Linked DNA regions of Rattus norvegicus. The protein of the gene in region 1 purifies or fractionates together with the protein of each later gene. This does not show direct contact. Links are inferred from orthologs where the notes say so. Each region holds a gene or a part of one and is shown in the gene's direction. Other genes may lie near its edges.

What was found.
Region 2: the proteins of Eif3a (region 1) and Eif3b purify together in Homo sapiens (co-immunoprecipitation; 15 studies listed by BioGRID and IntAct, with this or other methods). This does not show direct contact. The link is inferred for Rattus norvegicus from reciprocal best matches to the Homo sapiens genes EIF3A and EIF3B.

The regions. Positions count from the first base shown.
Region 1 is NC_086019.1:269,911,129-269,926,060, reverse strand, and holds the start of Eif3a (eukaryotic translation initiation factor 3 subunit A), read left to right. Parts: upstream 1-7,035; 5' UTR 7,036-7,219; coding exon 7,220-7,268; intron 7,269-14,851; coding exon 14,852-14,932. UniProt on the Homo sapiens protein: RNA-binding component of the eukaryotic translation initiation factor 3 (eIF-3) complex, which is required for several steps in the initiation of protein synthesis.
Region 2 is NC_086030.1:19,306,836-19,321,667, reverse strand, and holds the end of Eif3b (eukaryotic translation initiation factor 3 subunit B), read left to right. Parts: intron 1-1,166; coding exon 1,167-1,377; intron 1,378-4,568; coding exon 4,569-4,641; intron 4,642-5,722; coding exon 5,723-5,845; intron 5,846-7,142; coding exon 7,143-7,221; intron 7,222-7,796; coding exon 7,797-7,935; intron 7,936-8,826; coding exon 8,827-8,952; intron 8,953-9,495; coding exon 9,496-9,573; intron 9,574-10,173; coding exon 10,174-10,282; intron 10,283-10,389; coding exon 10,390-10,493; 3' UTR 10,494-10,506; intron 10,507-10,873; 3' UTR 10,874-11,360; downstream 11,361-14,832. Other genes in the region: Kif19b (kinesin-like protein KIF19), read left to right, coding at 14,115-14,201.

The DNA.
Region 1 (14,932 bases):
ATGTTAATGCAATTTTTCATACAGGGTAGAAATAATGTCTAAAACTGTGAACTAGAAACAAGGAAAATGAGACCTGATCAGAGAATGAGGTTCAAGGTCTAAGCCCTGGGGTAGTTCAATTTCAGATGTCAAAGAGAGGTGAGTGGTAGCCCCAAGGTGGGGTGCAAATCAGGTCCTGGAAGCCAATATGGAGAAAATGCTCCCAAGTTCTGGAAGCTAACACTCTCAGGATAAGTGGTCAAGTCTGTGTGAGGGAGCAAGTGTTTGAATGCAGGGTGGTTTTAGCCAGATAGCAGGGAAGGGTGGAGGTTGTGCAACACTAAGGCAGCTGGGTTCCAGACAGAAGAGGCCAACCTGCTAAATGGCACAGCAGGGAACAGGGTGGGAGATACTGGGCTGGAAAAATGGGCAGTGACTTAGAGAAGCTCAAAAGAATAGCTAAGGGGTTGTAAGGGTTCTGGTTTGGGATTTGAGGTGTTTCCATGGCTGCATATTTTTTTCTAGCCAATTCTGGTTGCAGGAAGAAGTATGGGGTCAGATTTGACCTGCAGTTTTTTAGGTGATAATAAAGTGAGAGGAGTTGGAAAAGAAAAAAATATATATATATCACCAACAATGAGAGAATCTAAGTTGGGAAAGGAGGAGGAAATAGAGGATGAGGGGTAGCAAAATGGAAGCAGAGTTCTTTGGAGACAGAATTTGATTATATTGCCCAGATGGACCTGAACTCATAATCCTGACTCAGCTTTTCAAGTAGCTGTGATTGTAGATATACCACACATATCTCTCTAGTTTAGAGATACAGACTTGAAGGAATGAAAATTCTAAATTATCATAAGCTACTGTGTGGGTGCAGACATCAGTATACAGGAGTTGTTTCTCTCCTTCCACTGTTACTTGGGTTCTGTCTATTGAACTCAGATTAGGCTTGTACACAGAGCCTTTACCTGCTGATCCATCTTGCTAGCCCCTAGCAAGTTCAACCCAGCCTGTAATCCTAGCTACCTAGGAAGCTGGTGTAAGAAGACTGCAAGTTCAAGACTCTGTCTAAGCAATTTAGGAAGACCCTATCGTAAAACAAAAGGTAAAAAGAGGGTTGGGATCCTGGGCATGGTGGTGCATGCCTTTACTCCCAGCATTCTGGAGGAAAGGGAGGTGGATCTCCATGAGTTTGAGGCCAGCCTGGTCTACAAAGTGAGTTCCAGGACAGTTTAGGGTGACACAGAGAAACTCTGTCTCAAAAAATCAAGAGGGATGAGGATATAATTCAGTTCTGGAGGACTTGCCTAACATGTTCAAAGATTGGGCTCAAATTCTATTAAATGTCTTCTTCACATGTCCCCAGACTGGGGGTGAAAGGCATTGTCTGGGATTCATACATGTTTCGGGTTGTAACTTGGAGGATTATCAGGTAGTCTAGTGAGGGATTTCTTAAACTTTTACCACTTTTGATCCCTTTCATTTGAGAAACTTTTACATGGTTCAAAGTACATAAAATAAGTATAAAAATTAAACTGATAAATCATTAAGATCTTTAAAACAATTTTTGGTATGTATATAGATTCAACACTTTATTAAAGATTAAAGCAAATTTGCATACTGAGGTTGATATGCTTGTTTGTCTAACACAATACAATCTAAAGATAGACTAATTTGATATATGCTGAGGAATGATGGTAGGAAATACTAAAAGCCTTCATTTTTGTAATTAAACTATTAGTTTTTTAAGAGTAGCAAACTTCCTATATGAATAAGTAAAACTTCTTGTATAAATATTAATTTCAGGTTTTTTTAAAGATGTATTTATTTTATGTATGTAAGTACAGTGCCACTGTCTTCAGACACACCGGAAGAGGGCATCAGATCCCATTACAGATGGTTGTGAGCCACCATGTGGTTTCTGGGAATTGAACTCAGGACCTCTGGAAGAGCAGTCAGTGCTCTTAACCACTGAGCCATCTCTCCAGCCCAACTTCGGATCTTTTAAAAATGTTTTTTCATTTAAAAATTTCATGTGTTTCACCCACATGAAATTCATGTGTTGTACCACTGGTGTGACTAGTTCCATCAAGAAGTCAAAAGCTGTCAGATCCCGGCTCTGAGGAATAGATGGCTGTGAACTTCCAAGTGGGTGCTGGGGATCAAACCCAGGTCTGATGGAGAGCAGCCAGTGCTTTTAACCGATGGGCCAACTCTCTGCCCTAATTTTAGCGTTTTCCAGGCTTTCTTCATGGTTGGGTATAAAAGAATGTGCAAAGTGCACATGTTCAGAACCAAGGGTGTATGATGCAACATGGGCTGGCTCTGCCAGCAGCCCCAGGTTTACTATGCATTCGATTTTAAATTAATTTTTGACTGTGTGTGTTCAGGAACCTTTCACTGCTGCCTAACATTTTGCAACTACCACATTCGGTTAAATAATCCCATAAGAAGCTTTGGACTAATCTGAAAGTAGTGAGCTTCAAAGTTCAGAGTTCAGGGAGGAGGGAAAGAGAATGCTCTGAGAGTCATTACTGAGAAGCAGTCGTTGGTGTCTGATCTCCCCTCTGGGGGCAGTAGACTGAAGGAGGAACGCAGCCAGCCCTTTCACTGGGCTGTAGGATGGGCAGGGTGGCCAGAGCGATGGGTCCTGTGATGGAATTTAATGGGGTTATGGGCCAAGAACACGGGGAGTCAGGCAGAATGATTTGGTAGCACTTTGAGTGGAGCCTGAAGTATTGTGTTAAGTGGTTGATAATTGGGTATAGGAAAGTACACTATGTTTGGACACTCAGAAAAATCACAATTGAACTTAGCTTAGAACTGGTGTATCCAGGAGCTTTCTGTAGAGAAAACTGTATTTTCTTTTCTTTCTTTTTTTTTTTTTTTTGGTTCTTTTTTTTTTTCGGAGCTGGGGACCGAACCCAGGGCCTTGCGCTTCCTAGGTAAGCGCTCTACCGCTGAGCTAAATCCCCAGTCCCCTGTATTTTCATTTATTTTTGTGTTCTTGTGTTTAAGCATATGGGAAACTGGAAGTAGATGGACATATGTGCTAAGAACTAAAGATGACATATATTGGGCTTCTAACCTTGTTCTTCCCTACAGATAGAACTGGAAAGTCTTATTTAAATATTGATGTGGATTTTCATTTGTTAATCCTCCATGATTAGTTTGTAAACAGCCTATCTGACTGTTGCTTTGCCAAGCATTCATATACACCAGTGAACTATAGAAAATTTTCATCCTTATCCATTCTTAAGTATGATAAAGGATAAGACATGTTTTATTTATATTTACATATTTATAAATATATGTATATACACATATATTTTTTTTCTTTTCTTTTTGTACTCCTGGCTGTCCTGAAACTCATAGATGCCCAAGTCTGCCTCCTGAGTGCTGGGACTAAAGGCATATGCCATCATACTCAGCTAATGTTTAAAGTAGTTTTGGCATCTAACCTTATCTGGTGCCAAAGAAGATTTCTGAAGGAAGTGACATTTAAGCAAAACCTGAATGAGAAGGTTGGTTTTAAAAGCAAGGAATGGGGGCTGAAGAGATGGCTCAGGGGTTAAGAGCACTGACTGCTCTTCCAGAGGTGCTGAGTTCAAATCCCAGCAACCACATGGTGGCTCACAACCATCTGTAATGGGATCTGAAGCCCTTTTCTGGTGTGTCTGAAGACAGCTACAGTGTACTTATGTATAATAGATAAATAAATCTTAAAAAAAAAAACAAGGAATGAGGCAAGGGTAGGGTTAGGTGGGTAGGAGTCATTAATTTCAGAATTTAGGAGGCAGGGACAGGTGGACCTCTTGTTTCTGGCCAGCCAGACTACATAGTGAGACTGTTTCAAAAATAAAATAAAATAAGATAAGATAAAATAAAATGGAATGACTGGTTCCTAGTGAAGTGATGTGATGCAGGAGATGGGCAGGGCCTTTTAGGGCACTGAAAGATACAGTATGTGGGCCTGGAGCAGATAGGAGAATCTGCTCTGCAGTGGTGTCTGTCTTCATGGAGATTATGGTGAATAAAGTACAGCTTCTTCCTAGGACTCTACCAAATTAGGAAGTTAGACTATTTTATTTACTGTTGTAACCCTCACACCTATCAGAAATGTATATTTGTTATGCTTGGCACATGGTACACACTTGATAAAGATTTGTTGAATGAGTGCATTACTCTGAATGATAGTCTGTAAGCTTATAAGAATATTGTTATATTTTTGAAAATAAAATGATAAATGTGATGTTAGGCATGTTGGTTCATGCCTGTTGTTTGAGCACACTTCAGGCTAAGGTGGGGGAATTGAAAATTCTAGGCCAGTTTGGAATGTTTTCATTGCCCAGTGAGATCTATCTCAAAAGTAAAACAAGAGAAAAACCAACCCCCTCTCAAAAAACCCCCTGCATTGTATTTGAGAAACTATCACAGGAAGTACAAGAAGTAACTTGAGAAGGAAAAAAAATCCTTCAACCTTTACCAGGCCTGAATGGTTGTTTTCTGATAAATGAGCATTAATCAGCAGATAATTATGCTTTTCTCTTGGTCCAACTAGATCCTATCTTGATTTTCATTGTATAAACATCTATTTTTATCAGGGAATCATTAATTCTTTGAAAGGAAGCATTGAGAATCTTTTTTTTTTCTTTTTTCTTTTTTTTTCGGAGCTGGGGACCGAACCCAGGGCCTTCCGCTTGCTAGGCAAGCGCTCTACCACTGAGCTAAATCCCCAACCCCAAGCATTGAGAATCTTAACATCTCTAACACTCAACATTATGGCTGCTAACTGGTACCAAAAACCTGTTGGTGGAATGTATTTACCCCTGGTAATCAACATTATTACTTTCATTAACAAAGAGTACCAGACTCTAAGTAATTGTTGGAGATGGTGTCTTGTTTATTGCTCAGCTGGCTTGAACTCCGAGGTTCTAGTGATCTTTCTGTCTTAGGCTTTGAGTGGCTTGGACCAGATACCAGCCACTGTATACAATTAATTTGTCTCATTCTTTTTAATGCACTTACATGATCATTGGCTATTACATCACCAATGATTCTTATGCTTTAAATAACATGAAGGGAAAATTATCAGTATGAGAGATATTTCATTTCACTTCATTTTTTTAATTTTCTAGTGCTTATCTGACTGTGGGCCTACTACATAGGTAATGCTGAACCCATTTTACTTTTATGACTATTTTGCCTTTTGAATGTTTGTGCACTTGTTGCTTGTAGAGGTCAGAAAGTGTCAGATACCCTAGAACTGAAGTTATGGATGATTATAAACCACCTTATGGAAGCTTAGAATCAAACATGGATCCTCTTCAGGAACAGAAAGTACTCTTAACTGCTAAGCCATTTTTTCAGCTCCTATTTTTACTATTTTCTGATGTAATAAAGGAATCGAGAATGTGTAGAAAGCCTTTTCTGATATTTAGACCAAGTTTCTTTTGATTTTACTGTTTGCATCTTTCTTTAGCCTATTATGTAATTAAAAACTTCAAGAAGGAACCATTTGCTCTTTATGTTTGACTTTTAAAATTTGACTTAATTATAATATACACAAAGAAGTCCCTTGATCATGCCCATAAAACAGTTGCTAAAGCTTGTAACACTAGATGTTCTTTTACATCAGTCCTGTCTGGTACTTGCTTTTGGAGGTGAAAGTTCGTGCATTTAGCATGGTCTAAGTATTCTGGAGGAAGAACTCTTGAAATCAACTTTAAAGTATTCTTTGTTTTTAATGTGTCTGTGTCTTTGGGTATGTTCATGTGAATGTAAGTGTTGGGGAAGCCAGAGATGATAGATACGCACGGAACTAGAATTAGAGGTGGTTATGAGCAACCTAACGTGGGTGCTGAGAGCTGAACTAAAGTGCTCTGCAAGATTAGTATCTCTTCAGACCTTTAAATAGCTTAAAAATAGTTTTAATTTGTTTTTCCGAGAAAGGGTTTCTCTGTGTAGAACTCACTCTATAGACCAGGCTGACCTCGAACTCACAGGGATCTGCCTCTCTCTGCCTCCTGAGTGCTGGGATGAAAGGTGTGGGTTCCCACTGAGCTTAAGGTTTTACTTTTCTTTTTAAGGTTTCCTCATTCATTGATACACTATCTCACTAATTTACATATCCCATATTATTGTAAAATATATAATGAACTTGCAATAATTTATTCATTTCCTTCTGAATTTTCTCTGAACCTTTGTGTGGTGCCAGGGATTATGGGCCTGTGCGTGATAGAGGAGCGCTCAGCCACTTTACATCTGCAGCCCTGAACTCAAGTTAATTTCCTACCAAGAGCCTCAGAATTCGACGCGGTTTTAAATGGCTTTCAAGCTCTAAGCATAGTAATTAATCTATGAACACTAAATTTGTTAGGTAGCAATAAAAGACATGGCTTGCAGTAAGCCATTTCCTCACCAACACGCATTTCTTGTATTTGTGACGTGAGTTGTATGTAAAAATCGATGACACTCGCGTATTTTCAAACACTATACAAGACGGTTCTATCTGTGTTCCTGGGTCTTCTACTCAAAGGAGGTGGCTCTGCCCCTGCTCGTCTTCTTTCAGGAATCCTTGAGACGCTAACCCTACAAGGATACCAAATAACTCTGTTTATTATTTGCTTGTTCCCTCCCCTTCCTTGTCAGTTAAGCGACTGGTGCCCTATTTCTTAGCAACGAACACCACTGGACAGCGATACCGGCTCAGCACTTCCGTTAAGTATTTTGAACCTTTCCAGGCGATGTCTCCGCACAGCCGTTGCGACCTTAACGCGGCCAGATTCTGCGCACGTCATTTTGGGAATGACTGTTGTAGACACTGCCTTTTTTAGTCGCAGATCTGACCGCAGATTTTCCTTTCCCACCCTATGTCCGCTGGAGCAGTGGTGGCCGGAGAAAACTTCTTGGGGTTCCCTCCCGCGACCCAAAGAACACAACTGTTCTCGCTGCCCGGCACCCATCGCCACGTCAGCTCACGCTCGCGACGCCAGCACGCCTGCGCGCAGAGAAAGGCGGAGCATGCGCAAAGGCCTGCCTCTTACATCCGGGGCTCGGGCGGCGGCGCTGCCGCCGCGAGGGAATCACGTGGCTCCTTCCTTTCCGTCTCTGGCCGGCTGGGCGCGGGCGACTGCTGGCGAGGCGCGTGGAAGCTCGCGCTAGTTCCCCTCCGCCTCCTCTCCCGGTCCAGGCCACTAGGGAGTTCGCTGACGCCGGGTGAACTGAGCGTACCGCCAAGATGCCGGCCTATTTCCAGAGGCCGGAAAATGCCCTCAAGCGCGCCAACGGTGAGTAAGGCAGCGGGTCGCGCCGCGCAGGGCTGGCCCGAGGCCTGGGAGTTCGAGGGCCCCCTCCTGCTGCCCGCACCCGGGCTGTGGAGGCCAGTGGTCACGGCCGCCGCCACCCGGCCATGTCTCACACGGCCTCCCTACTCAAGCGGGCCGCGGCGGAAAGCGCGGATCAGGAACCGTCGCTCCCGTGTGTGTCCACTGGCTGCGGCCCAAGGCTTGCGTCGGAGGGCCACGGCCCGCGGGTCAGATCTCTCTGATCTTGCGATTCTTAGCCACGATCGGCCTCCTGCTGGCCTTTCAGACCGTGGACTGCTTGGGAAGCCCCGCGCTCCCTGCCGCCATCTGGGAGTGCCGGGAGGAGGAAACATGGCTCCCTCCCGGGGACAATGCACGCGAGAACCTCAGCTCCACCTCCCGCCGGGGTCGGGAGCCCGGCTAGTCTACCTCCACCCCACCTCTCCGGCACGTCTGGCTCCAGATCCCACGCGGAGGCCTTCTGGGTCAGGGTCTACTTGCCTCACTACTAGTTTGCACTTCAGGCCTCTACTCCATTAACTTGTTTCCTGTGTGGTGTTTCCCTCCCCACGATTCGATAAGGGTCATTTCGAAAGTATTTCGAATCATTAAAAGTTAATATTCTTTAGGGATTTAAAAATGATCCTCCCCAGACAAGCTCCAGAAAGAGTGGTTTCCCCCAAGGTCACTTGGAAGTGTCAGGAAACTTAAGATCAAGGTCTCTCGATATCCAGTTCGGGTTTTTTTTTTTTCCCCCTTTTTCTCTTCTGTCTTTTTTTCCTTCCACCGCAGTGCCACTGAGTGCTATTTCTATTTCCATACGTGTGCTTAATTAAGCCTGGCACTTGCAGGAAAGACTTGCCCGGATCTCTGATATTGTGGTGGAAAAGTCGTGTGCATATATCTGATCTGACCTTTAAAAACTGCTTTTTGTTTTTTAAAATAAAACCTGATAATTATGTATCTGTGTCCCTTTTAACTCCTCCAGTCCAAACATAAACCATTTATGTTGCCGGTTTTGTGTTTGGCAAGATTACTAGAAGTGGAAGCCACATTTTATGAAAAGGCCATTTGAGTCAAAACTTACAAAAGAATACTGCTGATAATTTGTCAGGAATAAAGATGTGTTGGCTGCATACTTATATTTTTTATTTTGTGGAGGCAATCTGGAATAGAATAATAATGCACCGTGGATAACCTAATACTGCTAGCACTAATTTATTATTGAAATTAGAACTGTAGCTAATTTAGGACTTTTTGATGTTTTGAAACTTAGAATCACGTTGTGGTGTTGAAAATGGAATTGGACAGACATACTAAGTATAGCTATTATATATGTTTAAGCTGTAACATTCAGCAGCAGTCATTTTCCCCATAGTAGTCTAGCTAAAGCACTACAGTCTTTGGCCTACATACATACATAGTAACATGCTGACCCTATTTTTCTCTCCTGTTTGGAATCTTCATGTGAACTTGGTTAATATTTCAATAACTTTTTAAAGCAGAAAGGTTACATAATGTGTTCTAAATTCCTTTTCACAGTTTCTAAGTTGACTTGCTTAATGATGAGTAATCTGGGGAAAGTATCAGCAAAGTAGGGTAGTACTTTGTGGTACAGTGTGGCTAACTTAGGTCTTGTTGGTGCATTTTACCTAAGACCTGTAGTGACTTCTTGGTGCAGCCCCATTACAGTTGCCAGAATATTAAGGAGTAATACCTTAGCTTCCAAGGAACTTGACAGGAGCAGATTGTCTTATCTCACATGGTGCTGTTTATAAAACAAGTAGATGATAAAATGGGTTTTCACTCCTCAGAAATCTGTTTACCTAAACGTTTTATCTGTAGCATTTGTAGCCCCAGGGATATTTAGACCTAATCTATTGCATTATTTTAATAAATAGCCCTTCAAGTCACTCTAAGCTGTAATTAGGGGGTGGGAAAATGTCAAAGCCTTTTACCCTTACACTCTACAACTTCAGCCTTAAAAAGTAAAATTGAGGGGTTGGGGATTTAGCTCAGTGGTAGAGCACTTGCCTAGCAAGCACAAGGCCCTGGGTTCGGTCCCCAGCTCCGGAAAAAAAAGAAAAAAAAAAAAGTAAAACTGATATTATGAAACCCCACAACTAAGTAGTAACATTATAGCTTAGATACTTAATCTGTTGCAGGAATTGGTGAAAAATGAAGGATTGATGTGAGTCTTTTCTTTATTGGTAGATACATGGTTTCAGTCAAATCCTAAAGATAAATGCAGAGTGCCTATTCTAATAATACATATAATTCTGGATTTTGGTTTATAGACACTTGAAATCTTGAAATCAACTAAGTGTTGAAATAATTCCTTCTAGCTGCAAAAGCCTTCCCACAATATTAATTAGGTAATTTCAAGGACCTCAGTCTCAGTTGTAAGAGTAAGGACGAGTCACAGCCATGGATCATCATGAAGAGTTTGTTCGAATTTCAGTTCGTTGTTTATATTTTCCCTCCCCTTACTTTTCTTAGTGGGTGGGGGATTTTAAGGAGAGTGTGTGTGTGTGTGTGTGGGGGGGGTCCTCAGCTGCTCTGTGCCCTAAAACTCATGCTGAGGTGAAAGGCATGCTTCATCGCTTCATCACACCAAGCAGATGTTTTATATTCAAGTGAGCGTCTTTTTCCTTATTTGAAACTTTAAAAGCTAGATTTCTGGGCTTGGACTTGAACCTATCATTAAGAAAATGACTCTTTAATTCTGTCATAAAACGTTTATTTGTTTTTGTACTTTTTTTTTTTTGAGGCAGAGCCTTATTAGGTAGCCCAGATTGTTCTCAAATTTGATCTTATTACTTCAACCTCCTTCAGTGCAAATGATAGAGATTTGATTCTACAACATCAAATTTCTAAGCAAGAATTTAAAAGTGACAGGAAGAAATCACACTTGTGGGCAGAACCTGGGTTTGGTTGCCAGTACACACAGTTGCTTAAAATCAGTTGTAACTCCAGTTGAAAGGGGATCCATCCTCTTCTGACAACCAAAGGCTGTCAGAGTTATACATGGAAGCAAAGCTCTGATACACATAAAGTAAAAAACAAAAAATGTATTTTTTTAGAAGTAAAGACACCTTATATCTATTTAAAAAATTACACATTGGGAAAGTGGATTATTCTTATATTTCCAGTGTTTTGCATTTTAATTTTATCATGGGGTTAGTACTGAACTTAAACTTGATTTGTATTTCATATTGTAAACACTAATAGCTTAAAGTTTAAATCCTTATTGTAAAGTTAGGGATTAGGTATAATGTCATTTTAATGTTGCCGTTACAAGTTTTCTTTTAATTTCTATGGTATGAGTGCTTCGCTTGCATGTATGTCTATTACTATATGCAAGTAGTGCTCTCTTGGAGGTCAGAAGAGGGTGTCAGGAAATACCGAATCGGGATTCAGGAGTTATTGATGTAAACTTCCATGTAGGTGCTGGGAATAGAACCCAGGTCCTTGAAGAGTAGCCAGTGTTCTAAATTGCTAAGCTATCTAGCTGTTACAGTATTTACTGATTTTCTTTTTTTTTTTTTTTTGTTGTTGTTGTTGTTGTAGGGACTTTTGGGTTAAATTGTTTTGAAAAATGTCTAAATAACATGGAAAACAACCCTTGGCACATTTCCAGGAAGAGGGTAGTACTTAAAACAGGAAGATATTTTTGTTTCAATATAGTTGTACTTCCTTGTGTCATTTAGGATTGGTGTTAGTTTTCAGGGGTGGCCGGGTGGCCCAAGTGAAGATGGTCTTTCCCCACATATAACATGGAGGTGTTTGTATTGGTTTGCATATTTGATATAAGGAGTAGGGCTAGGGTTGTGTCTTGATCTGGTACACTGGAGACAAGCCCCTAGGTTTGGTCTCCAGCACTGGAGGAAAAACCATAGGATGAAGTCGGGATGTTTTGTAAAGATGTTTAATATGGTATGTTTAGTATGCTATGGTTTTTGGTTATTAGTTTGGTATGTGATTTGATCAAGTATAAACATAGTATGTGGGAGAATTAGAGCAATATTGTTTCACTGGAAGAACTGGGACGCACCATTCCTGAAACTAGAGTCATTAAGCCTGTAAGTTTAGTAAGCTTCTAAATAATAAACTTTTATAGGCCTTTATGTGTATGAGTGTTTTGTCTGTGTGTGTGTTAATGCATCATGTGTGTCTGGTGTCCACAGAGATCAGAAGAGAGAGGGTATCAGTCCTGGGATGGTGATGAGACACAATGTGGGTGGTGGGGATAGAGCTTGGGGTTCTCTAAAAGAGGATTAAGTGCTCTTGGCCACCTCTCTAGCCTCAATTCTGTTCATTTAAAAAAAAAATGGTACTGGGATTCAACCCAAGGGTACTAACATGCTTGTTTAAAGGTAGAGCTTCTCCACTCAATTCAACTTTATTCAGGAAAAGAAAAAAAATTGTTCAAGATTATCTTTTTAGAGGGTGGTGGTGATGATTTTATTTCGTAGTCTAGGCTGGCTAACTTGACACTCAGGTCATTTGCCTGAGCCTACCTACTAGATAAAGGTGTGGGCCACTATCTCTGGCCCCTTTTTAAAGATTAATTTTATGCATACGAGTACACTTTAGTTGTCTTGAGGTGTACCAGAAGACATTGGATCCCATTATAGATGGTTGTAAGCTGCCATGTGGTTGCTGGGAATTGAATTCAGCTGTCAGTGCTCTGAACCATTGTTCCATCTCTCCAGCCCCCAATATTATTCTTTAGGAGAAAAATAAACATTAAAAAAGGGAGAGATAACAAAACTAGTGTCTTAACTCCTTTAAAAGTTTTAAATATCCAAGTGAAAGTTTTTTGTGTTTGTGTGAAATTTAGCATTTTTTGCTTTTTTTCCCCAGCTTTCCAGGTGCTAAGATTAGAGGCATAAACCACTACAAGTTTAAGATAACATTTTAATCTAGAGTCTTTTCTGTTGACTAATTTGAAAAGTTGCTACATATGGCAGCTAGATTTGGAGATCTAGTTATTTACACACAATGCTTTCAAGCTCATAAAGTCAACCGTTTTTTGTCCTGTAGTTTTTATTTTTTAAAACCTTAATTTAAATTTTATAGAGCAAGTTTCAGTTGCATAGAATCATTCTCAAAGATAGCACAGTTTTCATCATATCCAGTTCCCATTAATGAACATCTACAATCTGTTACATCTTTTATAACTAAGGAGTCATCAACTGAAGTTATTTATTCATTTATTTTGTTTTTTTGTAGAGGTAGGATCTTAATTTTGTAGCCCTGGAACTCAGTAGCTCCAGCCAGCCTCCAACTCACAGATTTGCCTGTGTTGACTGTGTTCCAGTTTCCCTATTGGGCATTAGGATCCTATCCATACACCACATCACATTTAGTTGTCATGTCTTCATTGTCACAGTGTCTCAGACTTTTCTATTTTTTTTCCTTTCATCATCACATATTTGAGAAGTACTCCTGCATTTTGTAGAATGTCCTTTGTGTTACTGTAGCACATCCTGGGTACTTTATCAAAACCAAGAATGTATCTCTCTTATTTCTGATGGCTTTAAAAAAAAAATCCATGATAAGGTAGCAGGATCCGTATGTGGAGAGAACTGACTGGCTTGTTACTGTTATCCAGAGGAGATTAATAGTGTTCCCTTGTCTGATAAGAGAGAACAAAAAGGAAGCTATCAGATTATCTAGTATAAAAGCTACCTGTTGCATTTAGAGGTGGAACTCTTTGATCCTGCTGTTTCTTTAAAGGCCAACTCCTAATAGTATTTGGTTAGGGAGTATGTGTCAATCCAAAGTTTAGGAGAACACTTAAACAAACATTTATACCATTGAATCTTAATGAGTATTTCTCTTGATAATTGTTTTTAAAGTACTAGTTTTATTTTTCTCTCAAGTCAATATTTTTCTTTGTAGCCCTAGTTATCCTGAAATTCTTTTAATCTTGGTTGGCATTGAACTAAGAGATGCATTTGCCTATGGCTCCTGAATGATGGGTTGAAGACATGTGCCACCCACCGACCAGCAAAGTTAATTTTAAAAATACATTTCTGGAGCTAGGTACATGGTTCAGTAGTTAAAAATACTTGGTGCTCTTGGAGAGGACTGTAGTTCTGTTCCTAGTATACAATTAGGTAGCTGACACACTCCCTGTAACCCTAGTTCCAAACATTTTTGGAGCACAAAACATACACATACACATAAGATAAAATTAATAAGTGTTTAAAAAACTTATTGGGGTTGGGGATTTAGCTCAGTGGTAGAGCACTTGCCTAGCAAGCACAAGGCCCTGGGTTCAGTCCCCAGCTCTGAGGGAAAAAAAAAAAAACAAAACTTATCACACTTCGCCATGAACTTTCTCATGTCTCCATGTATAGCCCTAGGACTCCTGAGTCTCTGTAGACCAGGTTGGTTCCAAACTTAAGGGATCTACCTTCCTCAGCTTCTGCTTCTGCCTTTGGAGTGCCAGGATTAAAGGTGTATGTGATGCTAAGTTCAGCAGCTCTTTTTAGCTGTTAAAGGTTTATTTTTGAGTTGTTTTCTATAGAGAGACCATGGTTTGACCCTTCTACTCAAAAGAAAAAGTGTGTGCATACATGCTGTGTGAATTGTTGAAAGAGGCCAGGAGAAGGCATTGTATCCCCCGGAACTGAACATTAACAGGCAGTTGAACTACTTGAGTGAGGGAGCTAGGACTCAGATAATTGAGCCATCTTTCCCAGACCCATGAACCCTTTTCATTTAGTTTGTCATGACCATTACATGACTAGGGGTGGATAGACTGTCATAACTTCCAACTCTAAACCTGTATTCAGTGTGATCCCAGTCGAAATCTTAGCAAGCTATTTTATAGATGGTTGTAAAAGTTTTATGGAAACATAGGTATGGAAATATCTATGTTAGAGAATGGATACCAACTGGCAAAGTAGGAGCACTTACTATCCAATTCTAACACTTTACTAAATTCCTTGAGAACGGATGGAATGCAAGGTCCTGAAGTAAATTTAAATGTAGTCAACTGGTCTTAAAGTAGACAATCTATCTTCATAAAATAATATAATAAAATTTATTCAGAAATTTATTCAGCTATAGAAATGAGATGTAGTCATACTTGAACTTTTAGATACTATGGGAGATTCTCCCATCCATGATTTCAGTTTCTGGAATTTTAAAATCACTGAGTTCTTCCACATATAGTATTTTCAGATCATGTTACCGTTATACATTGAGTGATTATAGGATTGCTATTAGAAGCCAAACATGTAAAGAAAAAAAGTTGGGAACTAAGTCAACAAATTAAAGCAATCAGCAAAGAGGCAAGCATTTTTAAAGTTCTTTTACATTAATTTGTGGAAGTGACGGGGCATGCACAAAATCTTTTGTGTGCATGTGGCAGCCAGGGGACAATTTTTAAGAGTGGGTTCTGCTAATGTGGGTTCTAGAGATAAAACTCAGAGAATCAGGCTTGGCAGCAAGGACCTTTACCTGTCGATTGAGTCAATTTCTTTGGTCAGTCATTTAGATGTTTATATAATATGTACAGCTAATTTTAATTCGATTCCCCTCCCCCCCAGAATTTCTTGAGGTTGGCAAAAAGCAGCCTGCCCTGGATGTTCTTTATGATGTTATGAAAAGTAAGAAACACAGAACATGGC
Region 2 (14,832 bases), on another chromosome or scaffold:
AAGAATTATTTGTTTTTTATATGTATATATATATATATACTGTAGCTGTCTTCAGACACACCAGTAGAAGGCATCGGATCCTATTACAAATGGTTTGTGAGCCACCATGTGGTTGCTGGGATTTGAACTCAGGACCTCTGGAAGAGCAGTCAGTGCTCTTAACCACTGAGCCATCCCTCCAGCTCATAGCACTCAGTTCTTAAGCAGTTCTTTGCTTCTTATTTCTGCAAACATTGGGGTGCTACAGTGGCTTCTGCTCATAGATCACAGAGATAATACTGAGGTCAAAGAGTCTTGCCCAGCTAGAGTAGGGACTGTGTGGGGATTTGACACAGTGCCTTATCCTTTTCAGAAAGCTCCCTGGTGGGTGGTGTTGTTGGGCTAAGGCTTAGGTGTGTGGCGAGGAACTGCAGCTCATTCTGTCTTAGGTGAGTGGGCACACATTTGTTTATCTGAAGTCATTTAGAGTTGGTCACTCCTGCGGTGGCGAAGGCTTATCGGCCCAGAGGACATTGGCATGTCTTCTTTTTCATTTCTCGATGTTATTTGGACTTTTAACAAAAACTAAAATCAGGGCACTGATCTGACAAATTCAGAACCAGATTTGGATGTGGTGGTGAGCATCCGCACTTCTAGCTGGTCAGGAGGAGTTGTTTGAGTCTACAAGTTTGAGACCAGTCTAGGCAACAGGGCATCTCAACTGCAGCCAAATAGAAGACAAGAATGTGTTTATAGAGGCTTTCCACATGGCTCCCATGTCTGTCCTGCAGAGCAGTTAATAGAGAACAGATTGTTCACCTGTCCTATCCTGTACCTTCTGACTTGCAGGTCCCATCCCCCCCCCCCCCGCCCCCTTTGCCACCTTGGCTGACCTTTAGACACCCTGCAGCTAGAGCCACCAGCCTGAAGTACATTTGTAAAGAGCAAGGCTGGTGGCTGTGGATGGGTACAGTGAGCAGCATACTTGTGTCACAGCAGTGTGACTGTGCCCCAGGGCTGTGAGCAGGCTGTGTTGTACAGCACCTAGCACACAGCTGATGTGCACCAGGCTCAGAGCACAGCAGGTAGGCCAGGACGCCAGCATAGAGTAAATTGGTCATCCGTCTGCTGCTCAGAAATATGACCTTATCTGTTCTTCCCATAAACTTTATCTCTTTGTCCTATAGAGACTTTTCTTGGTCTCCGGGTGGTAACATCATTGCCTTTTGGGTGCCAGAAGACAAAGATATTCCAGCCAGGGTGACCCTGATGCAGCTCCCCACCAGACAGGAGATCCGAGTGAGGAATTTGTTCAATGTGGTTGATTGCAAGCTGCACTGGCAGAAAAATGGAGATTACCTGTGTGTAAAAGTGGACAGGACTCCAAAAGGCACACAGGTGAGTGCTTGCTGTGGGAGCCACTTCTGAATGAGCTGCTGCTTCTGAAGATTTGTTTTCTGATTTTTGTTTGTATGTATGTGCGCAAAAGCCATGTGTGTGCAGTGTCTGGGGAGGGCGGAGAGAGCTTCATATTTCCTAGAGTTGCAGTTACAGTTGTGAGCTGCTTGGGGGAGTGCAAGTGACCTAATCTGAGCTCCTGCAGCCTCTCCAGCCTGTGCAGTTGTCTGTTGGGAGGTGTTAGTGGGTGGCTTGTTGTGTAGACTGTAGGTTAGCTGTCTGGTCAGGTGAAGGAACCTCAAGATATTCTGGCTGGAAGCTTCGTTGTTTGTTTGCTTGTCATGTTATCTTTTGTTTTTCGAGACAAGATTTCTCTGGGTAGCCCTGCCTGTCATAGAACCCATGCTTTAGATCAGGATGGCCTCACACTAGAAATCTTCCTGCCTCTGCCTCCTGAGTGCTGGGATTACTGCCAGGCTGGGTTAATGGCTTCTTAAACTGTGACTTTTGTAATTGCTTTTCACCCGAGAAATTTTTTATTCTTTTTTTTTTTTTTTTTTTTTTTTTTGGTAAGAAATAAATTTTTTTCCCTTCGGAGCTGGGGACCGAACCTAGGGCCTTGCGCATGCTAGGCAAGCGCTCTACCGCTGAGCTAAATCCCCAACTCACCCGAGAAATTTTTGTTCCCAGTTTTATAAGCACAGAATGGGTTTAAAAACCCAGCATACCCCAGCTCCGTAAAAAAGAAAAAAAAAAAAAACAGCATGAACTGATCATCATAATTGCATGTATGTCTGTTTGTGCAGTGCTCTTGGGGGCCAGAAAAGGGCATTAGCTCCCTTGGACCTGGAGTTAGACAGTGGTGGGCTGCCATGTGAGTGCTGGGAATTGAGCCCAGGTTTTCTAGAGCAGCCAGTGCTCCTCTCTGTCCAGACCCTGTGCAAGTTAAACCTTGGCCTAATTTTTGGTTCTGTGCAATGTTTTTCAGAGTTGATGGATGTTTTTGAACATTTAATTGTCAGTGCTGAGAATGTCACCTAAATCAGTAGTATACAGCAAAGGGCAGATGTAGTGTTTAGAGCAGTTTCCAAATTTTGTAGAATTAATCGGACTTTTTTTTTTTTTTAAATTCAAGTCAGCAACTCAAACAGGACAATATTTCAAAACAAATACTCTACCACAATATAATTCAGAGACCCTACTAATTTTTTTTTTTTTTTTTTGGTTCTTTTTTTTGGAGCTGGGGATCGAACCCAGAGCCTTGCGCTTCCTAGGCAAGCGCTCTATCACTGAGCTAAATCCCCAATCCGAGACCCTACTAATTTAATAATGCTGAAGAATGATGAAAAATAATAGTTAAACCATTAAGGTTTTTTTTTGTTTTTTTGGTTTTTTTTGGTAAGAAATAAATTTTAAGTACAGTAGAGACAACACAGTTGTAACTTGTAACAGTGTGAGTCTGAGCTTGAGGCAGCCTCAGCCTGACGGCACTCTAGACCACAGCTGCTGGGAAGTTCGTGGTGCCTCAGTGTGGGCAAGCACTGCCAAACGCAAGACTGCTATGTGTTTGAGATTCTGGGTGTGGGTGTGGAATTCTAATTCATGGTTTTTGAGAGGCTGTGAGCTATGTCTAGATAATGATGTGAGACTCTCAATCTGGACATAGCACTTTACTAGAACTTGGAGGACTTTCAATCCTGTCTTCTTACCGCCTTAAGGGTTGATCACTTCATGTAGTTCTGAGCTCACGGGAAAATACAGTAGTGTCATCCTCAGATTCTCAGCCACTCATACTAGAAGCTGAAAGGGATAGATTGCTTTCCTGGTAATCAGGTGGACTTCACATTTCTGCATACAAATGTGCTTCTGTTTATGTAATTTTATGTTTTTCTCATCCAAAAAACAGTGTCTAGGGATGGTGTGCATGACTTTAACCCTAGCACTCAGGAGGCAGAGGCAGTCAGATCTCCAAGTTTAAGACCAATTTGGTTTGTATAGCAAATTCCAGACTATCCAGGAATACACAGTGACACCCAAGCTTTTCCTTTTCTAAAAGGATTTATTTATAAATGAGTACACTGTAGCTGTCTTCAGACACCAGAAGAGGGCATTGGATCCCATTACAGATGGTTGTGAGACACCATGTGGTTGTGGGAATTGAACTCAGGACCTCTGGAAGAGCAGTCAGCACTCTTGACTGCTGACGGGTCTTGACTCTGACAGGGTCTTGGCCTTTGGTTCTGGGTATTCTTGAACTCAGTGATTCTCTTGCTTTAGCCTCGAGTGCTGTATCACAGGCACGCACTACCAAGCCTGTCCCAACTAATTGTTCTCAAGATGTAATTCATATACCAAAATGCTTTTAAGTGGCGAGCCGTCTCCCTGACTTTGGATATGTTTAGTAGGTCACACAGGCATGCTAAGCTGCCTCTCCTTTCCACACTGCTCCTTGGTCCACCCTTCTATTTTTTGTCCCTATGCCGGTGTCATTCAGACAACCCCCTGATTGCTGGTCAAATGTTCTATTGAGCTATGCCTCCATCCTTCTCCTCTCCTCACTCCCGACAGCCTCTGGTTTGCTTTCTCTGGGTGTCTCTGTTAGGAACATTCCCCTGCAGCCTGTGACCCTTCGTGTCCAGCCTCTCTGACCTCACCTTTTTTCTTCTTCTTTTTTTTTTTTTATTTTTTTTTTTTTTGGTTCTTTTTTTTTTTTTTCAGAGCTGGGGACCAAACCCAGGGTCTTGCGCTTCCTAGGCAAGCGCTCTACCACTGAGCTAAATCCCCAGCCCCAGACCTCACCTTTTTTTATATTGTAGCATGCATCAGCATTTCATTCTATTCTTTTTCATAGTTGACTGGTATTCCAGCACACACATGCATCCACATGTTAGTGGGCTGGCATTAAGGTGGGCGAGTAGTTACTGAGTCTGCTGCTGGGTTTAGTGCTTTTGAAGGTCATGGTGCAGGTTGCTCTACAGTGTGCAAATCCATCGTTCCCTCTGGTAAACTCCGGTAGATGTGCTGCAGAGTGTGCTTGGGCTATGCTGTCATACCAGCCTCGGCACCACATCAGGGTTGTGGGTGTGCTGGTGAGTGAGTGCTGTCTTCTGTCTGATCATTATTTGTACCCCCATATTTTCATGCCTTCACCTTCCAGAGAATTACCCTTCCTGTTTTGCTTTTGTCAACAGGGAGTTGTCACAAATTTTGAAATCTTCCGAATGAGGGAGAAGCAGGTTCCTGTTGACGTTGTTGAGATGAAAGGTAAGCAGGAAGGGCCGTCGTGCCCTTGTCTTGTACAGCTTCTATGTGAGATAGGTGTTCAGAGCGGCGTACTGAAGTGGGATCTCAGCAAGAGCAGCTACCCCAGATCACCCTGACCTAGGTTAGATCTGCACATAGGTTAGGTTGGCTAGCCACAGGACCCTCCTGCCTGCCTTCCTGCCCATTATAGGGCTACAGGGGCACACCATGCCTGGAGTTACCTTGAAGAGCTTCTTGCTGGTTGTATTTTTGTTTTTTTGTTTTTTGGTTTTTTTTTTTTTTGGAGCTGAGGACCGAACCCAGGGCCTTGCGCTTGCTAGGCAAGCGCTCTACCACTGAGCTAAATCCCCAACCCCTGCTGGTTGTATTTTTGACTGATTTTGTTTGTGTCTGAAATATATTCGTTCTATGCCCATCTGCTCTTGAACACCAATCTTTCTGCCTTGGCCTCTCGAGTATTGGAATTGTAAGCCTGTGCCACCAGGCTTGGCCTGCCTTCCCTTTTTCTCTCTGGAAAAAATAAAAGTATTTCTTTTTTAAGTGGGGTATTTTGAGACAGGATCTCACTATGTATTCTTTGGTACCTGGAATTCATAGAGATCCACCTGCCTTCACCTCCAAAGTGTTGGGATTAAAGGCAAGCACCACCACCGCCCAGCAACATAAAGGTTGATGTACTTTTACTCATATGTTAGTTCCATCCTTAGTCTTAGTGCCTGTGCCTCTCATTGGCTTTCAGTTTGTTTCACTATAGAAGACCACAGCTAAGTTGTTAAGTCCTTAAGTCAGTTAAGGAAAGACAGTTTGGTGGCACCTGCCTGTGATCATAGATTGCAGGAAGCCAGGGCTGGAACAGTCCAAGTTCTAGGCTGGCTTGGACTTGTTATTAACACAACATCCCAACCAGATAAACCAAGTGCTTTTGAACTCTGCTGACTTCTCTTTGCTTTTGCTGTCTTTTGATCTGTGGTCCTGCCAGTAGATTAGGAGTGCTTTTCTCCAATTGAATGAAGATCTTTGAAAATGGAGATTTTGTTATGAAAGATTAGGACAACTGACTCCTCTTTCCTGCTGGTTGTAGAGACCATCATAGCCTTTGCCTGGGAACCCAATGGCAGTAAGTTTGCTGTGCTTCATGGTGAGGCCCCTCGGATATCTGTCTCCTTCTACCACGTGAAGAGCAATGGGAAGATTGAACTCATCAGTGAGTAGTCTGCCCTTGGCCTCTCTCTGCAGAGCTCAGGGGCCGGGATTCTAGCTGTGCGGGAGATGATAGCAGGTTGGGATGACTCAGGACAGGGGGCACATACTTCATATCCACCGAGCCTGGAGTGAGTCAGTAAGTTGGGCCTTACTGCCCCTGCCCTTCAGCCTGGCTTAGCCCTTGAGTCCTCTGCTCGGCTCCGGCAGGAAGGGGTGTTCTCATTCCCTTTCCTGCAGCAGGGCTCACCTAAAAGACACTCCCCTTTGGCATGGGGGCCACGTGTGGCCTTGCTTAGACTCCCAAAGGGCTACTGCCTACTCTTCTTGTCTTTGTTGTGACAGCCCCACAGCAGGGTTAGGGCTTAGGGCAAGCTGAACCTAAACCCACAGTGTTGCCCTCACTGGGATGGAAATACAGGCTGTATTTCATAAGTTCTTTATAGGACACCAGCTACCCTGTTCCCTCTGCTGTAGCAGTCATACCATGGTTTCCTTGGACTTCTGTGAACAGTGTGCTTTCCCTTCACCTGGGTCTAACCATTTGTGACAGAATTAGCTAGTGTGTTGTAAAGTCCACTCTGGTGTTGGTTCTCTTGGATATGTAAGAGGTGGACAATTGCAGACAATCAAAAGGTTTCTGTCCCATTATAACAGACACCAGGAGACGTGTCATTTATCCCCCGGATCTCTGTGATTCAGCTCTCACCAGGGTCACAGTCAATGCTCCTCTGTGCTTTGGGGCCAGATGGGACATTTGTCCTGCAGCTCTCTGTGAATGTGAGACTCTCCCCTCCCCACCCCCCATATGGGAAGATGGCTGTTTTGCCAAGACTGAGAGAGGCTTTGGGTGACCTGGGTTATTGCCGCATTTGCTTTGTCAGTTTCACCCAGGGTCAGGGTGACTGGGAAGATGGTTTGCTTGATGTTCTGTAAGCACACTGAAAGATGGTGATTTTGGTAGCTTGGCCCATGGTGCTGTTGGTGGACACTAAGGGCTCCCGAGATGAGTCAGTGTATTTGCTGTCAGTGCAGTCTTTGCCTGTGAAGCTGAAAATAGTATCCACCAGACTTCTGTAATAGCCAGCAGCCACCACCCAGAAGCATGCATCATGACTTTAGGCATAACTGAACGGGGGCGGGGGTATGATTTTGAAATAGTTCTCCCAAAGTGGCTGGTGGGTTTGTGTTGGAGTCGTATGTGCACTCTGCTTCTGTCAGCTCTCCTCACCAGTGTGGCACTGTGTCTTAGCTGGAGAGGCACCGGCACAGTCCCTCACAGGAACTTATTTTCCTTGCAGAGATGTTTGACAAGCAGCAAGCCAATACCATCTTCTGGAGTCCCCAGGGGCAGTTCGTGGTACTGGCCGGGCTGAGGAGGTGGGTTGGGGCCCTGCCCGCTAAGGCAGCGTCCTGCTCCTGATGGTTTGTGTTGGTGGAGTGCATCATCTCACTAGATATTTATCACAGCCAAGCCTCTGGCCAAACCAGGCTGATTGAAGTAGTGACTTGCAGATGACATGTCCTCTGTGATCGTAGCCGTGCACCCCTCCTGTGAATCCCACGTCTTCCAGTGGGACAGATGCATAGCTGGAGGCTGTCCTGCCCTCTGGTTGGGGTGCCTTTCACTTGTTCCCCTGCATTCCAGCTGAGCACATAGGAGTAGTGAGCAAGTCCAGCCCTGCCCTCTGCTGGGAAGGACTACTGTGGCTTGCTCCCACCATGGACGCTTCCACACACAACATCTTCTCTAGACGCCACAGAGCACTGAGTACACCATTCATGTCCTTGGGAAATTTGTCACTGTGAGGGCGATAGGGCCCAGGGAACTAACTTCAGCCCAGCAGAGCCCTTGGTCCTTTCTCACCCTTGTAACTCAGTTGGAGTGAGGGGCATTGGACCTCTCAGTAGGGTGCAAGGGGATTGTGGGATACAGCTGCCCTGTCATCCCACAGCATGAATGGCGCCTTGGCGTTTGTCGACACTTCAGACTGCACCGTCATGAACATTGCAGAGCACTACATGGCCTCCGACGTCGAATGGGACCCAACTGGCCGCTATGTGGTTACCTCTGTGTCGTGGTGGAGCCATAAGGTAGACGATGGCAGGTGCTGGGCCCTTGGGGAATGAAGTCTCTCAGGGCCAGGGACAGATACTGTTTTCTGTAGGATTGTTGTATCCAGGGACCCCAGGGTGAGAGGGCATTACTCACGAACTTTTGTGGCTTAGGGAGACAGTTTGGTCCACTGTTTCTCAAACTCACTGCTGAGAGGCCAGCTGCTAGAGCATTGGGCATGTCTGCTTGGCAGGGCCTGCTGGAGCATGGGTCACTGCCTCCTGTGTTTACCATTGGGTGGACAATTGAGCCAGTCCATGCAAACAAAACCTGTGAGCTCAGAGGGCTCCAGCTGATGAGATGACCTCTTGCTTGCCAGATGGCTTTGAGTAGTATCTGGCATAGCACTCTCTGTGTTCGTTCATTCCAGGGTGTGCTGTCTGGAACCCATCCCAAGTGCCAGTGCAGCACAGCCCATCCCAACACTTGTTTAATTTAGCATCTTGTAGGACTGGGAATGTCAGTGCATAGCAGCTGCCTGGGTTCTACCCCAGCATCTCCCACCTCCATAAAAGGGGAGGGAAGGAAGTGAGAGTCTTCCAAGCCCGTGTGGGACTGGGCCATTTAGTTCACACAACTCCTAAAGAGCGGGTTGGCAGCAGGGAGCCCAGCGTTTGAGTCAGAGCTCAGTTAAGAGTCCTGCCAGGAAAGCTAAGCTGTAGTTGCTGCTGTTCTGATTGGCACTGCTGTAGAAGGTTCTGGTCATAGACCAGTGATCAGCAGGCCCCTGCAGGAGGGGCAGGGGTTGGTTCTGTCTCCATTGTGCTGTGTCTTGGGCAACCAGAGCACAGGTTGGTGCTGTGCTGCCAAGAGTAAAGGTCCTAGGGTGGCCTTGCACATTTTGCATGATGGGCCCCACTGCCCTCTAGGTGGACAATGCTTATTGGCTGTGGACCTTCCAAGGTCGTCTTCTCCAGAAGAACAACAAGGACCGCTTCTGCCAGCTGCTCTGGAGACCAAGGCCCCCAACACTCCTCAGTCAGGATCAGATAAAGGTCTGTGTTCCCTGCCTAGTTGGGGTAAGGGAACGGTTGTCCATCTATGACTGCACAGGGCAGTCAGTGGGGAGTGGAGGAGGTAGGCATGGAGAGGGCTCTGAGATGAGGACCAATGAGACCTGACCTGAAGCTGTGTCAGGTAAGGCAGTGCTTATAATCCCAGGAGGCTGAGGCAGGAGGATGGCGAGTTCTTTTCAGACTCTGGGGTCACTACAAGATGACCTTATCATGTCTTCCTTCCCTTCCCCCTCCCCACTTCTTCAGAAAACCCATGACAGTCAGTCTAAGCCAGACAGGCTGTGCACAAGTTCCAGTGGGATTGGGAGAGCTCAGAAGGGGTTATGTAATGGGATAGGCTTGTGGTGCTAGGTCAGAGCCGGGAGTGACTCAGCCTAGGAATCCTCTCCATGAGTGATCTGGGCATGCTGGTGCCCTGGGGCTGGTCCTGAAGGCTGTCGTCACTGCACATGGCATCTTTGTGACAGCAGTTGTGGATATTGCTTTGAAGGCTCAATCCTGAGAGACTTGTCTTGGTTTCAGCAAATTAAAAAGGATCTGAAGAAATACTCTAAGATCTTTGAGCAGAAGGATCGCTTGAGCCAGTCCAAAGCTTCAAAGGTGAGCCTAAGGGGGATGCCCATAGGAGCCCATCTCTATCTTACCCTGGACACTAGTCAGAAGGAGTGCCAGGAGCCTGGTCTGGCTTGTTCTCCCGCTGTGAAGGGTAACTAGCAACGGGGTCAGAGGCCATCACTGGTCCTTGGAACCAGCACCCACTAACACCGAGTAAAGGCTGGCTTTTCCTTGCTAGCAGCAGGAGGGATATGATTAGGAAGAGAAGGTCCCACTTAAGGGAGGCTCTCCAGAAGGGTTGTCTGGCACACAAGGCACTGACATCTTCTGCACTCACCAATGGGTGCTACATAGGGCAGGACCATTGTCATTGAGCAAGAATGTCCTGGATGGGGGCTGGAGAGATGACTCAGTGGTTAAGAGCACTGGCTGCTCTTCCAGAGGTTCTGAGTTCAACTCCCAGCAACCACATGGTGGCTCACAACCATCTATAATGTAATTTCCTGCCCTCTTCTGGTGTATAGGCATATATGCAGGTAGAGCACTGTGTACACAGTCTTTTTTAAAAAAAAAAACCAAAAACAAAACAAACAAAAAAACCCTAAGAATGTCCTGGTTAGCCCTACAACCTTCCCTACCTGACAGGAACTGGTGGAAAGAAGGCGGACCATGATGGAGGACTTCAGGCAATACCGAAAAATGGCCCAGGAACTCTATATGAAGCAGAAGAACGAGCGTCTAGAGCTACGGGGAGGTAACCAAGTTTCTGGGCTTGTCTGCAAATGGAGTGGTCCCCCCGAGGGCCCTGCAACCGGCTTTGCAGCCATGTCCCAGGGGTCAGTCAGTTGTCTATTCTCTCAGGGGTGGACACTGACGAGCTGGACAGCAACGTGGATGACTGGGAGGAAGAGACCATTGAGTTTTTTGTCACTGAAGAGGTCATTCCTCTGGGAAGTCAGGAGTGACCTCAGCACTGTGGTAAGACTTGGGAACATGAAGATGGGTTTGCTGATGAGTCTTTGACTGCTTGTCAGACCACAACAGAGAAGACACCCCAGGAAGATGGCGGTGCTGCCGCTAGTGGTTGTAGGAGCTTGGGGTGAAGCAGAGGCGGGCATGACCATCTCCAGATCAGGCACAGCACTGTCACCCATGTTGATATTGTTGGTACAGGCTACAGTACAGGAGTGAGTGTCTGTCTGCCTGCATGTGGTACTTAGTGCTGGGCTCCTTCAGGAACCAGGAGAGAGAATGAAGCCTCTCAAGGCCTGGAGTGTGCTCAGTAAAGAATCCAGCTGTGGTCCCTTGCTCTGTGTCTGACTAAATGCTGGTTCATCTGTTGCAGTGTCACTGTGCCGTGCCCAAGATCCAAGGCCACACTCTTCACAGAGAGCCTCGGGCTGGGTTCTCACCTGTGCTTTCGTGCTCTGGACTGCGAGTGCACCCAGGGTTCTTCCATCCCGACACAGCTCTGTGCCTTCAGCCCCGGGTCCTCAGCGGGGACACTCGAGCCTCTGCTCTCACAATGCCCTGTTTGGGTTTTTATCAGCCCTGTCTGCATTGGAGCCTCACTGCAGTGTTCCTGGTGGCTCCTTTAACTCCTGCTGCTGCCCATGGGGTTTCCAGAGCCTCCACTTCCAGCTCAGTGGGATTTCCATTCATGGACTTGCTGTTCCTGTGTGGGCCAGTGTCATGTGGCCATCAGGAAGTCTGCACACCCAACACTTACTGTGCCAGAAACTCTGGAGGCACCCAGCACCTCACAGCTGTTCAGGTTGTGGCAGGGCCTCTGCTCAAGTTGGATGTGGAAATAAAAGCAACCCTGTGTGAAACACTGTCCTGATCTCTCTGTAGCTCAAAGTGGCCTGGAGGCCTGCCCCTTCCCTCTCCCTAGGGTGAGGTGGGGGTATGTGTGCACTGCTCCTGGGTGGTTGTTGAGAGCCTGCGTGTCGGAACCTCGGGATACATTGGACAGGTTGGAAGGCGGGTACAGAGGGGGCCAGCCACTTGACGTGTATCTGTGAGGTTACCTAGTGTCCAGCAGAGAAGACAGCAGACAGGCGTAGGTGAGCTTCACCCAGCATGAGCTGTGTGTGTGCTGCTCTCCCTGCATTTCACAGGTGGCTCCCACCTGCCTCTGCACCTCTGGTGAGCAGAGAGCCACCCCGCAGGGCCTGCAGCCATCCCATGTCTGTAGAGCATGTACATCTAGCAGAGGACAGGCCATGCATATGGAGCAGACGACCAGATCAGTGGTCTCACGCTTCACTGGGAGGTGGCTCACCATTCCTCCCGTGTCTTGGGTTCTTTATTCCTTTGACCTCTCTGCAGTTAGATCATGGTTGCAGGCCTCTTCAGTTTACCCCACAGCGTTGGCCACCCCGTGTTCTTTAAACAGTCTTTTTTGTTTTTGTTTTTTTGTTTTTGTTTTTTTTTTAGTTTCATAGCTCTTCACTTTGAAACTTGATTGTGATTTGTTTTTGTGATTTGTTTCTGTGATTTGTAAGTAAAAGCAGTTGTGTGGTGCAGCTGGAATTTAGGGAGAGCTCCTGCCCCAGGACAACCGCTCAGTGCTTGGGAGGGTTTAGGAGAGCTACAGACTTAAACTCCGCCTTGGCTCCAGGATGGGTGGGGATGTACCTTTGGGCCCTAATCCCAGCCAATCTTTCTTGCCCTGTGTCGTCAGGCATTTCCTGGCTTCCAAGGTTGACCAAGGAGGAATGTAATCTAAGGAGAGGTCACTCTGGCCTTCCACAGCTGATCAGTTTGATTTCTGAGAGAGGGGTGGCTTGCTTCAGGGGAGCCTGGAACTTCTGTTTCCCATGACCCAAGTGTTGTTAGCCTGAGCTCTAGGCACAGTGCTCTCAGCCCAAGTCCTCATAGCATCAGTCTATAGCTTCCTTTTGTTCTTGTCAAGATTTGAGTTTCTCTTATGTAGGCTTGACTGTCCTGAACTTGCTTTGTAGACCAGGCCTTGAACTCAGGAGATCCTCTGGGATTAAAGGAATGTGCCACAGCCAGGCGCTGGCATGCAGGCCTTTATTCCAGTACTCAGGAGGCAAGTGGGTTTCTCAGTGTGAGGCCAGCCTGCTCTACAGTGAGTTCCAGGACAACAAGGGCTACACAGAGAAACCATGTTTGAGAAGATAAGGTGTCACTACTACCCAGCAACTTTTTTTTTCTAATGTGTGTGTCTTATACTTGTATGTCTGTGTACTACACTACATGTACAGTGGTCTATAGGCCAGAATTCCCTGGAACTAGAGTTAACAGACACTTGTTACCTGTTCTGTGGGTGCTGGGAATTGAACCTGGGTCCTATGGAAGAGCAGTCAGTACCTTTTTACCTGCTGAGCCCTCTCTCCAGCCCCTTTTTGTGATTTCTGCCAAAAGGCAGGACAGTGTTTAGAATGCCAAACAGTTTTTTGTTTGTTTGTTTTTTAATATTTTGGGTCTAGGCTGATCTCGCAGACTTCCTGAATGCAGGGCTTAAAGGTGCACATCACCACTACCCAGCTAAACATGACTCTTTCTAAAAAGTAGTTTTTACTTAATTTTGTGTGTGTTTTATTTGCATGCTATGCATGCTTGTAGAGGTCAGGGAAACCTGTAGGAAGGTTTTTCTGCTTGGTGTGCACCTAGAAGTTGAACTTAGATAACTAGACTTGTAAGCAAAGTGTCTTCCCCCGCTGAACCAGCTCCTGAGCCTGGCTCTTTGTTTTGTTTTTTTTTTTACATATTTTGTATGTGTGCTATATGCATATGGAGGCCAGAGGTCAACTTGTAGGAGTTGGTTCTCCTTCCACTGTGGATCCCAGGGCTGGAACTCAACATCTGGCTTCAGGGCAGGTACCTTTACCTGCTGAGCCATCCTACCATTCCCCAAGCCTGGTTCTTAATAGCTCCTGCCACCCCAGGTTACCTGCACGACATTGCTTGTGCAGTCTTCGCTGGGCTGGCACATTCACAGGGCAGGACTGTCCCCCGAGGGATCCTGTGGAGGAAGTAAAGCAGTAAGTCCACCAGATCATCCCAAAGCCCACACTGGGTGTGCAAATGGACACCAAAGGCCGGACGTGTCACCAGGAACTTGGTTATCTATGAAAGACCCTGGCAAGATCGCTGCCAGCTGAAATGGTCATGTTTGGCATCAGCTGCTGTTTAGTCTGCTCAGGTAGAGCGACAAACACACTGGCCTGCTGTTCTCAGGTGGCCCCTCTGGGTGAATCAGTGCTCTTGGGCTCCGCACTACAGGTTCTGTAGGGTGGGCTCGGCTCTAGCTCCTGTGGCATAAGGGAGCTTAGAGATAGGCTGAACAGAGTTCTTGTTAGATCCCTATTGTGGCCTCTCTGAGGTCTGCCTGGCTGCTTTCGGAGTACTCAAACCACAAGGGCTGCCCAGGCCAGAGACAGGAAGGGGTGACTCCAGGTTAATAGATGAGCTGAATGCTGGCCCAGCCCCACCTCTGGGGACCCAGCTGATGTCATCAGAGTGAGCCTGGGGAGCAGGGCAGGGCTGAGCTGGCAGGCTCTCCTTGCCTCCGATTCAGCTTGGTTAGCTGGGGGCCCCTAGTTCTGACTTGCAGGATGCCCTCCCAACAGACCACAGACCCCTCTCCTGCTCGGGGCAGCCCAACCCTGAGGGAGATGGAACCCAAGGACCAGCAGCTCATGGTGAGTCCCTTTTCTCATGGCCCTGCTAACCTCTCCAGCCTCTCCCAACCTCTCCACCCCTGAGGAGAAACCCCAAACCCATGCTCAGATCAGTCTTCCTAGCCTTTAAGGAACAGTGTTCCACTTCTGGTTCACCTTTTCCTTTCCTGGAACCCAGAGATACTATCCTACTTTCTCACTGTGGGACTCTAGACACCTGTACCCCCATTTCTGAACCTCTGTCTTCAGCCCAGGGTCTGAACTACAACCCCAGCCATGGGGCAGGCCTCATTCAGGCTCCTTGGACCCTCAACTCATAGAACCCAGCCGGCCACCTGTGACTGGTTAAGAGAAAACTGGCCTTGTGTCTTCTATGGTATCATCAAAGGATACTGTTACACAGAGGCTGGCAGAACTGAGGGACATGCAAAACACAGGCTCCCTTCCTGAATGCTCATAAAGGTGTTTCCTTTCTGATCACAGCTAACATGGGCATCTATGTGACCTTGGGCAAGTTGTTCCTCTGTGTTCCATGGGAGTGATGTCACCACTGAGTCCTCAGAGCCTCTCTAGGAGGCAGGAACAGCTCCGTGCAAGTCGAGTCTAGGGGGTGAATGAATGGGAGATGCTCACTGAGCACAGGCAAATGGGA